Bombyx mori: one gene and its partners. The protein of the gene in region 1 interacts with the protein of each later gene in a pairwise test. Links are inferred from orthologs where the notes say so. Each region holds a gene or a part of one and is shown in the gene's direction. Other genes may lie near its edges.

Region 1 (4,274 bases):
AACACGATCCATGAATGATGAGATATCGTCAATAGGTGGTGGCGTACGAAAGACTGTAGCTTCAATATTAAATGAGGATTCAGCGGTAGGTGATAGAAGATGATTGATTGGTAGGTAGGTCGACTGAGTATGTCGATTTTATGTTTGAAGGACTAGGAATAGGTGATAAAAAACTAGTAATAGGAAGGTTAGTCACCGTGAAAGCTTCTAGCTGTTCTCGAAGGGCTATTTGTGCATGTTCTTGACGCAATCATCGGCTTATTTTTAAATTTTGCCCGGGTTAAAGTTACCCATATTAGCACAAATATTCACCAAACGAATTAAAATCAAGACAAACACGTAAACAACTTTAAAGATCATATAGATTTTTTTATGAAACTACATCTGCAACCTTTACTTATTAAAAAAAGTACAAACTTACCTTTCTATGAAACTTTTGAGTGTGAATATAAAAAACTTTGCAGCGATGTTTCATTTGTCACCCACCTACCACTTCACAATCAACCTCAAGAAAGAAAAGTTTTGCTGACAAATATCAAATTTTGGCGCGCTTTCTTCGTTCAATAATAAACCTCTTGATAAAAAAATTCGAAGTCTAGTAAAATGTATCTCGTTTGGAAATAAAACAATAAATATATGTAAAAAGTGAGTAAGTGGGCTAATGTTAAACGGAAAGCTGAAGTTACCCAGATGGACGTAATATCAGGAAAAAACCGTATTTATTTTTATTCTACAGTGATCCAATAATTTTGATATTTTTGCGCGAATCGTGACAATCTGTGTTACTCATGAGACAATCGAAAAGCTTTAGTATCTAGGTACTATTTTTTTTTTCTACCTAGCAGAGCCTTGAGAGGCTATTTCAACGTAAACTTAACTAGTAGGTAAGCTCAGGGGGCTCAAACCTGACGACGTTGCTAACACGAACCCTAGCAAGAGCCGTGCTTCGCAGAATCTACCACCGGATCGGAAACGCGACCCACTGAGAAGATCCGGCGAGAAACTCAGTGGGCTTACCTACTAAAATTAATGTTCAATGATATAAGTACATTAAGTACTAGACCAACAGTGCGTTAAGGATAAATTTTATTACCTATTATTTGTGATCAGAAAGCATACTTTTAAATTTACTTTTAGAGTGGAGTAATAGCTATGGTATTAGTTAACCTTTTAGTGTCTATATTTATAAAAGTGCCTCATATAAAACAAAATTTCCGGACATGACTTGCTTGATAAAGCATAGGTCAGGAATAAAATCCCGTTTCATTTTTATCGATTTAATTCTAAAATAATTTCAGATTAATGCAAAATCCCAAAGAAAGCCTCGGCTTCTGTTATAAAATACTAGGATTTATGAGCATATTTTCCTTTACTTGTCCACTGTACAAATCAACAAAAACAATTTATGAACGTATGAACCTAATGATGACTGTCAAATTGTGATTATCTCGAATACCGCTTTTCGGAACAATAATTTATATTTTGGACCAACATTAGTGTATTTGTCTTGGTAGAAATCGAAATATATTAAACAGTGCGTAAACATGAGTTCTATCGGAACTGGCGTAAGTAAAAATCATTTTGAGAGGTTAGAAGGTCAATAAGTTTTCAACAATTTAGGTTTTTGTACAATGTTTGAAACAATAAATTTATCTGTATAATCAATGTTTAAATCATTAAAAATATTCTTAAAAAATATATGATTCATCGTAGAAGTTTGTTTTTTTAAAAACCAAAACTGTCCAGTCATTGCTTTTTTTTTATTTCAGTATGACCTATCGGCTTCTCAATTTTCTCCTGATGGTCGCGTTTTCCAAGTGGAATATGCTGCAAAGGCTGTAGAAAATTCTGGAACAGTAATTGGCCTCCGAGGAAAAGACGGAGTGGTATTTGCTGTTGAGAAGTTAATCACATCCAAACTGTATGAACCTGGCGCAAACAAGAGGATATTCCATATTGATGAACATGTTGGCATGGTCAGTAATATTATTTATAAATTCATAGTCAAGAATATGTTAGTATTTTTTTTAAACATATTTGTTATAAAGAGATTGATATAGCTTAATCATTTCGGATACTCTCGATCCTATTATCGGTGCGTTTAGACATTCCAAGCACCAGTCACCATTCTCTGTGAATCCATTAAATGCGATGAAGGGTTTGTCATACAAACTAACTCACAGACAGATTGCTGAGTTTTTTCCTGGATCTTATCAGTAGGCCGCTATTCTCATCTGGTGGTAGATTCAGTTAAGCACTGCTCTTGCTAGGGTTAGTATTAGCCAAGTCTCCCAACTAAGCCCTATGAGCACTTTCGGTAAAGCAAACCCTAGATGCTACTAACAATATGTAGGCAAACTAACTTATTGAATGTTCAGTTAATAGAATAGAATCTTGTTTTACTTGGTAGGAAAAGTAATATGTACTGTGTTTATATAATGTTTAATGATTTTTATATATTTTACTAGCAACCCGCCCTTGCTTTGCTTCGGAAACTGTAAATTATTATTGATTTCTCCACTATTTAATGGATTTATTATACATATAAACCTTCCTCTTCAATCACTCTATCTATTAAAAAATCGCATCAAAATCCGTTGCGTAGTTTTAAAAATTTAAGCATACATAGGGACAGAGAAAGCGACTTTGTTTTATACTATGTAGTGATTCTTCCATAACATGGGTGGACAATTATTGAAGTTCATAGACATCACAAAGTGAAAACAGTGACTTCCATAATTGTTTGTCATTAAGACTGAGCAATATTTGAATATAAATATCCCACTCTTCATAGTACGAAGAGTACTCAGTATTAAACAGCGACTTGACTGTGCTCCTAGCATTGCTTATGTTTATGAGCAATGTTAGTCACTGACCATTAAGTATGTAGTATGCTTATCTACCTACAAAGGAATGAAAAGAACAAAAAAAGATGTGTGGTGTCATGGGACACAGGATAGGAACGAAGTTCCTTATAAAAATATTCATTTTAAGTTCTATTCGGGGTATAAAGAAAATAATTATTCAGGTATACATTTTTTATTATGATTTTTTTATTGATAAAAATAAATAAAAACTACTTAACAAAGTTATCAACTTTATCTTATTCACAATGATTTATAAAAAATATATAATAAAAATGTGTTATTTTTTGTACGTTATTACAAAGTTAAGTTGTACACTGTGTGCATTACTAATAAAAATCTTACGTTAGGGACGTTTTTTCCCGGTTAGGGTACCCCTCCGCATCGTCCCATAAGGAACTTCGTTCCAAAAATCGTAACCATATCCCTCTGAAGAAATCATTCAAGTCAATCACTAAAGATTATCTAATTTTTTTTCACAATATAAAAACTGTTTTCAGGCTGTCGCAGGGCTCATATCAGATGCAAGACAAATTGTCGAGACTGCTCGTTCAGAGGCATCAAACTACAGATCTCAGTATGGCAGTCCAGTACCACTGAAGTATTTAAATGAACGAGTTTCAATGTACATGCACGCATACACACTATACAGCGCTGTTCGGCCATATGGTTGCTCAGTCGTTATGGGCACATGGACAGACTATGAAGGCCCTCAGATGTATATGCTAGATCCCAGTGGTGTATCTTTTGTAAGTTGTTATATTTTTTTTTATTTTTTTTTTATCGCTTAGATGATTGGACAAACTCACAGCCCACCTGGTGTTAAGTGATTACTGGAGCCCATAGACATCTACAACGTAAATGCGCCACCCACCTTGAGATATAAGTTCTAAGATCTCAGTATAGTTACAACGGCTGCCCCGCCCTTCAAACCGAAACGCATTACTGCTTCACTGCAGAAATAGGCAGGGTGGTGGTATCTACCTGCACGGAGAGGTCCTACCACCAGTAAATCTATAATGTTATTAGTATTTTTCTCACAATGTTGTAGATATGAATGTCACTAATCACCTCAAGGAATTATTTAGATATTCCACCTTAAGTCTGTTTCTGTAATAGTTTTTATGAAGGGATTTTTGGCCTAAAGGCCAAGATGCCTGGTTATCTTGTATCGAAATATGCCTGTGTTCAAAACCCGCAGGCAGTTAATGATTTTTCTATGAATATATGTACTAATGAATTAATTCCGTAATGAAGGAATAATATTGTTTATTAACTGGCAATAAGGAAGAGGTCTCTTGTGAGCCCAACCTATTTTTGCAAAGTATTCATGTATTCCAATTTGCATGAGCCTTTTATAACCATATAATTGGAAATTGAACCTCATGTCTAATTCTTGGATGGTGGCAC
Region 2 (3,657 bases), on another chromosome or scaffold:
TGTATGAACTAGCACTCACTCTAGATGATATTATTAGTTATGGAGTCCATAGATACAACGTAAACAGTGCCACTCATTTTGATAATTGCTTAGATGGGTGGACGAGCTCACAGTCCACCTGGTGTTAAGTGGTTACTGGAGCCCATAGACATCTACATCGTGAATGCGCCACCCACCTTGAGATAAACTCTAAGGTCTCAGTATAGTTACAACTGCTGCCCCACCCTTCAAACCGAAACGCATTACTGCATCACGGCAGAAATAGGCAAGATGGTGGTACCTACCAATACCACATATGATCTTTTGGTTCACAATACCCTACTAAGTGTAATTATCCTTAAATGATATTTGAGATTAGTTTCACAAAGTGGTGTGTTCGAACACCTGTAACATAATGATTTATTTAGAATAATTGAAGTCAACTGCAAGTTTTCTACACTTCCATAGTTGCATTGTTTGATATGAGTAACCCACACAAATTAATAAGTTAGATCTTGACAAATTAAAAAAATCTAACACAAAATAAATCCTTAAAAATGAACCGTGACATCATTGTCTTTTTACTTTCACTCCATCGACTCCCTTGGATCTCTAATGAACCATCAAAGCTAAAACAAATATTATCCCTGTTATTTTTTGCAGTATTCGAAAAACATTACCTGGATAGATGTTTCGACAGAACGGGGCAGCTGAGTGTGGTAATAACCCCAGGAGTAGGTGTATTTGAAGTCGACAGAGAACTGACTAATGTTACAAAACAAAGAATCATTGACAATGGTGTTGGCAGTGACTTAGTTTGTGTAGGAGAACAACCTCTGCATGCTGTGCCTTTACTAAAGTTCCACAATAAAGACAATAATTTGAATTCAATTGATGATTATTCGATGCCACATTGGATTAATCTATCATTTTATTCTACAAATAAAAAAGTGGCTTATTCCAATTTCATACCAAGAATTAAATTGCCTCCACGAAAGAGCCAAGAACCATTACGTAAAATGTATGAAGATGAGAGGAAAGGTAAATTGTTGAAAGAAGATGAATGTATGCACAATTCTATATTTGATTATGATGCATACGACGCGCAAGTTTTTCAGTTACCCCCCGCTCACAGCACACGGTAAGAATTCAAATTATGTTTTTTTTTATAAATCTAAATATTCCATTAATTATTGCCTCTTTTTATGTGATTAGAATTCACATTTATTATCATAAAATCATCCATCATAACAGGAAACAATATATCAATTTGATTTTCACATTTACAGGGTACAAAGGGTCGCCAGGACTAAGAAAACTTCTGTGGCGGGTTTAGAAGGCTTAAATCGTAGGAGCCCTCCAGCTTCTACTTTGCATCACAGAAAAATGTCGGATCCGGACATCCATCATAGCCTTGGAGATCTTTTGACTTCTGGAAGTATGTGCCTACCTATTTATTGTACAAATCTACTTCTTGACTGTTTTCTAATGTTAATTGTGTTTTGGTGTACAATAAAGTATGTTCTCTCTCTCTCTGTGCCAGTTCCATTAATATATATATCACAAAAGAGATGAATATTTGACACTTTACAGCCAAATGCGGTCACAACCTATCTAGCTTGATGTGATTATGAGAACATAATTATATAGACCAATTTAATGTACCAAGTAAATTTTGATATATATATATATATATATGTAGGTGTGGGTCTAAATGAAATACTCTTTTCTAGGGTTTCACAATACTTTTTATTTAATTCTTAGAGAGCACTTTGAACACGTCTTACTCCTAATGGCGGCGTCGTGCGAGAGAGCGAACTAGAGCTACATCCGTCCCTTTCACACATCATGCGTTCAGAATCTTTCACTCGTTCAGAAATGTTTTACAATAATTAGAAATGTTAGTAATAATTAAATAATTAAATCCTACAACTCGGCCTTCCTGCACATCAGTCTGGCCTCAGACTGAAAGTACTGAGATAATAAAATAGTTCTTATGAATTAAAAATAAAAATAACAAAAATAAAATCTCTAACTTTACCTTAATTTACCTAATACTACTACTATGCAAATTTTTTTTTTTTCTAAACATTTTTACACAATAATAACGCTACAAAAATATTTTTAGTTAAACCTTATACTACCTATTACAAACAATCATGCTATAACTCTGCACACAGCTAATAAAAACAAATAGTAATTACTCTTACTTAGTACATAACACAACAAAAACAGTAGGTTTAAACTATCAGTTTAGAGGCAAACAAGTTACAATGACACAGAGAACAGCAATGCATAATAATTATTCACAGTTACTTATTCAATAACAAAATGAGCAATGTAAATACTAGATCAACCTAAAATAAACAAACAGTGTAGTGTTACAATGCACCTAAACACTCAGACCAGAGTTAGATTGAGTCAAGGCCACCTCTTCATGAAATCTAATGCTGATGTAGTTCGTACTGGCCCATCTTTGCTTCTGTCTATTTTTTCGACCTCATATCGACCTTTCCCCATTTCCCTAGTGATGCGATATGGTCCATAAAATTTAGGTTTCAATTTTAGGGCGTTCCCAAATTGTGTCCTTTGAATAGCTACAAGATCTCCAACCTTGTACATTTCTCCTACTTTACGTCGTTTATTATAAGTCTTTCTATTCTCCTCTTGCATTCTTAAAATTTGAGCTTTGGCTTCTCTTCGTGCTTCTTCTCTCCTATTCATAAATTGCAATCTATTTTCTTCTTCTAAATATTCTAAAATTGATAAATCTTCTTTCAGTTTAAGTTTCACTCCTGTTAACAGTTCGAATGGCGTAGTACAGATTGCCCGCTGGTATGTGCTGTTTATCACTTGTTGTAGTTTGCTTGTATATTTGTACCAGTGACCAGGTTCTTCAATACACATCTTTGTCAACGCAGAAATAATAATACTGTTCATGCGTTCTACTTGGCCATTTCCACGAGGTATTCCAGTAGTGATTGTAACATGTTCGATGTCTTCTTCTTCACAATATTCTCGGAACTCACTGCCTGTGAATGCTGTACCTCGGTCAGTGAAAAGTATGTTTCTGCTCAATGCATCAACATGCTGCTTAACTAACTGTTCTTCAGTGATGGCTAGTCGTCTTGGTCTTTGTGAAACTGGTACATCATCCTTCAACACAATCTTCAGCCTGATAGGTGCATCTTTAGTCTTCAAAGGTGTGTAACTGTCAATAATTTCCCTCACCGCTGTACACTGGTCATTGCTACTAGAAGATAGACAGATAGCATTTTGATACGATATGTCATAACAAGGAGGCCTGACCTCAACCAAACCCTTGTCAATAACTGTGATAGTATTTACTAAAAATTGTTGACCCAGTATTACATCATATGGTATTCCACCTGTAGGTACAATATACAAATTAATACTATATCTGTGACTGTCAATAGTTAAATCTGTGTCGAACTTACCAATCGAATATACCTTAGAGCTTCCTAACCCAGTAAGCAACATTTTTTCTGGTATGTACTCGCATTTTAGTTTTGTAAACAAATCAAAAGTTATTAAATTTAAGTCGCTACCTGTGTCAATTAAACAATTAGTCACATAGTTACCAACTTTTACTGATTTTACACTCATGTTTATAGAATCACGTTTGTTTACATTTAATAAATTTGACGAAACAATATG
Region 3 (4,359 bases), on another chromosome or scaffold:
TAACAGATTTGTTTGTCACTTATTTTAAGAGCATTAATAAGTAATACTTACTTGCAATTATAAGCTTTGTATTCTTAAATAATGACTTTGCTAATGTGAAATGACAATCATCCTGAAACCAAAAAGTATATTGCATTACTGGGCATATTATGGTTTGATAGGAACTTGGGTGGTTCAGATTTCACAAGTAGAGTAGATCAGATTACATCCCTATGGTGGTGCAACCAAATTGGCAACTTAATGCCTATAAAAGGTAATTTGTCAAACAGCAAGTCTTATCTTGGGCTAGATTTATCCTAACCTAGTCTAATCTTATCTCCTTTCTTTTCTTCTTTTTGCTAACTTCTTTTCTTTCCATATGTCCCATAATAACTGGGTAACTAAAATCTATACTTAGGTATTTAAATTATTGGTATAGACAATAGATCTGTTATGACACAGCTGCTCCCAGTTGAGGATAAGATCAATTGGTTTCTAAAGTTTTGAAGCTATTTAATAATATTTGTTAAGAATATTGTAAGATTACTGCTTGTAGTATGTTTCAAACCCTGGCAGAGTTTCATCCTCAATATAAGTACATGGACCTTGTTCTCATTAAGATATGATTGTTATTTACAGTTATTACAGTTAATTATTAGTTTAGTTTCACAGCTTTTGGCTTGGGCCAAGGCTAAAGGGAGCCAAATCTACAGTTTTAACTGAAAATCATGTTTGATTGGACTATGTTGCAGCTATACCAGGTTATTATTTTCATGAACGTACACTAAGTAAAGATGTGACAATATTATCGTCTCTTTTTTTTTCAATCACTCAATTCTGACGACACGTTCAATACTATTTCTGTATCTATTATTTTTATCTAACTACCGCAGCTACCCAAGATAATTATGAAATTAAACTGAAATTTTATTTAAACTTACGCCACTAAGTTCCAAATCCCACTTTCCGACATCGGAAAAACTGTGCGTACATTTTACAATTACAATAAAAATAAGAAGCTTAAGAAACATTGTAAATTACATAAATGTACTGTAATATTATAAATATTTCATTGCAGTCAATATGTAACCAAGCAACATTTTCCAATAAAAATCTATTTTTTTGCATTAAGCCACAACAACGAATAATATGATCACCGCGCTTAGAATTAACTTTTCTGACATTGATTGATATTTGACAAATGTATGTGTTTTTTTGACAAAATATACATCGCGATAACTTTACAACCTATCTCCTCAAATATTAAGTGCATTATTTAAGATCTATCTGTAGACGTCGTTTGTTTACTTAAGTCAAGAATTATTAAATATTACTTAGATATTCTCTACTATAATACTCCATTTAAAAAAAAACATTGGCTTTACATACCCGTTGAAAATAATGAATTTTGTAATTATTGCAAAGCTTAGCTGTATGGTCAACGTCCTCTTGCCTGATTTTCAAGAAAAACAAAACGACCCACAAAAAGTAATTTGACATTGTGGTTGTCGTGTCAAAATATTTTTGTTTTGTTCTTGGAATATTTAATAAAATAATCGGTTATTGTGTTATTATTCTAATGTTTTATGTTTACTTTTATTACAAACCGTACATTTTGTTACACCTAAAGACTATTTATCATAATTAATGAAGTTAAAATTTCATCCAACTTGTTACTGTATTAGTCATGTCAGATTGCGCGCTGGTTACCAATGTAAGCGAACACGATGCGAGCATGGATGTGGGGAGCGACAAGTCTCTATTCGAGCCTACTGTTGATATGATGGTCAATGATTTCGATGACGAGAGAACTTTAGACGAAGAAGAAGCTTTAGCTGCAGGCGAGCAACAGGACCCTAAGGCCGAGCTCAATAGCCTTCAGAAGGAGGGAGATATGCCTTTAGAGGAACTCCTGGCTCTGTACGGTTACGACAGAAACATGGAAAAGCCAATTCCTGACCAAGTTCCAGAAGTAGTTCCTGAGGAAACTGAGAGAACGGAGAGGGCTGAGAGGACTGAGAGAAATGAATCTGCCCTTTCCCAATTATACAATGAGAATGCAAACCCTGAAGCTACTAGATGCCTTCGGTCTGGCTCAAGGCCTCCCTCTGAGGAGGAAGATGATTATGATTACAGTCCAGATGAGGAAGACTGGAAAAAAACTATAATGGTTGGTAGTGACTATCAAGCTGCTATACCTGAGGGTCTATGCAGCTATGATGATGCATTACCTTATGAAAATGAAGATAAATTACTATGGAATCCTTCTATTCTTGATGAAAGAATCACTGAAGAGTACATGCGAAAAGTGTGTGCTCTGAATTTAGGCACCGGGATTGAATTAATTCCAAAAGGAAAACAGCTTCGTGATGATGAAGAGGCCCTGTACTTATTGCAACAATGTGGCCACAATGCAGAGGAAGCCTTGAGACGGAAACGCATTTCTGCACAAACTCCACCTCACGCAAGTCTTTGGTCAGAAGAAGAATGCCGAAATTTTGAAAATGGCCTAAAAGCACACGGAAAAGACTTTCACTTGATAAGGCAGAACAAAGTACGAACTCGGTCTGTCGGAGAACTCGTCCAATTCTACTATATTTGGAAAAAAACTGAAAGGCATGATATATTTGCAAATAAGGCTAGATTGGAGAAGAAAAAGTATACTTTGCATCCTGGTCACACTGATTACATGGATAGGTTCTTAGAGGAGCAAGAGGCAAGTGGAGGAAGTGTGGTGCGACCTGCATCTCCATCGCCCATGATGGACTATGCAACCTCTCCTGTCACTCAACCCGACCCTCTTGCTCTTGGTGAGAAAGAAGTATTTTCACAGTTAAATACACATAACACACCCCCGAGGGCCATGTCGACAGAAGAACCAGAAGCAGACACTGGACCGTAATTTTAATTTCTCACTTTGTAGAATGCACTGTTTGTAATATACTTAAGTAAATTTTAAATTAGAAAGATAAAAAAATGCTGTAATATGTGTTTAATTCTGTGTTGATTTTATTTGAAATAGCTTTTGCTAAATTGTATATTTCAACCTAAATAATGAATATAGTTTATAGTTTATATGTCAATATTCTTACTGTAGACTTAAACTATAAGCAGTGGTTGTTTATGTACGTTAGTATAATAATGTTCATTGAAAAAAATGTAGAATGAAGAATGTCTCACTATAATCGTTGATTCAGGTGTATTGTTCAGTAACCGTGAAGCATGGAGCAAGAGCTTGTTTTTAAGTCACAAAAATAAAGTAATTTTTAAAAGTTTAAAATTCTTTAGGAATATTATCCATTAATACCTAATGTAGGTTAGTATATAAATATATCAATCTTAATGTTAAAAAAATATAGGTATAGAATTCTATCATTTTCTGTAGATGTGTATTAAGCTCTTGTGACATAGCTTTCAAGAAATCAATTTTAATGATTTTACATATTTAATTTTGGATTATCCAATTTGTAATTTAAATTAGTAATTTTCTAAAATCTGTATACTCTTTATAGACACAGCTATTGTGTTCATTAATTTTCTTAACAATGCAAACTATAAAAGTGAGTAAATGCTTGTGAGATTGTACACAGCGAAGGCTGCTTAGTCAGGGATGACTATAGATTGTTTCGAACAACTACTAACATAGATAAGACATTTAGAAACTTATTTTTTTTAACACCTATATGATACACAGACCTGTTTTTGTTCATTTTTTTTTAACACCTATATGATACACAGACCTGTTTTTGTTCATTCCTCATCTGCATGGATGCATAAATTAAAAATCGCCTATCTTTTGTTTGTTATTGTACACATAATTATTATTGTATCCATAAATAGTACCTAATTTTCTAATTTCATATATTAAATACCAATCTCAGATTTAATTCACTGTTTCATACATACAGATAGATAGGCTGCTGAAATTATCAGGGTTTATTTTATTGCCATTTTGCTATGGGATTTTAAAACGTAATAGACCTAAAATAAGATAAATTCCCTTATTCATAAATCATATTGACATTAATTATTTCTACAGTATTTTTATATTTCTGACTGGATTTTATTTAAATGAATGAGTATGGTGGTTTATTAGCATTTGATTTGTACAATGTACAAAATAATATTAATTTGTTAATAATATTTGTGAATAAGGGAGTAAAATAATTAAATTATGAATTTATGAATGTACCTGTCTATATCTAGATGGGTGTCGTATAAAATTGTGGATTATTTCATGAAAATAAACAGTGCAAAATGTTTTTGTTTATTTCACACTAGCTTTTGCTCGCGACTTCGTCTGCGTGGAATAGTTACTTTGGCATAACGCTAAATTTTACCCGCCTCTTCATTTACGTAGAAAGTGAAAATATTTTTGAA

What was found.
Region 2: the proteins of proteasome alpha 3 subunit (region 1) and GATOR complex protein Iml1 interact in a two-hybrid assay, tested with the Caenorhabditis elegans proteins (2 studies listed by BioGRID). The link is inferred for Bombyx mori from reciprocal best matches to the Caenorhabditis elegans genes pas-7 and depd-5.
Region 3: the proteins of proteasome alpha 3 subunit (region 1) and mesoderm induction early response protein 1 interact in a two-hybrid assay, tested with the Caenorhabditis elegans proteins (2 studies listed by BioGRID). The link is inferred for Bombyx mori from reciprocal best matches to the Caenorhabditis elegans genes pas-7 and T07F8.4.

What each region holds. Positions count from the first base shown.
Region 1 is NC_085124.1:6,958,075-6,962,348, reverse strand, and holds the start of proteasome alpha 3 subunit, read left to right. Parts: upstream 1-1,432; 5' UTR 1,433-1,544; coding exon 1,545-1,565; intron 1,566-1,769; coding exon 1,770-1,976; intron 1,977-3,364; coding exon 3,365-3,613; intron 3,614-4,274.
Region 2 is NC_085116.1:10,881,167-10,884,823, reverse strand, and holds part of GATOR complex protein Iml1, read left to right. Parts: intron 1-642; coding exon 643-1,120; intron 1,121-1,268; coding exon 1,269-1,417; intron 1,418-3,657.
Region 3 is NC_085118.1:3,183,078-3,187,436, forward strand, and holds mesoderm induction early response protein 1, read left to right. Parts: upstream 1-1,455; 5' UTR 1,456-1,666; coding exon 1,667-2,881; 3' UTR 2,882-4,241; downstream 4,242-4,359. Other genes in the region: transmembrane protein 87A, read right to left, coding at 52-112, 921-1,010.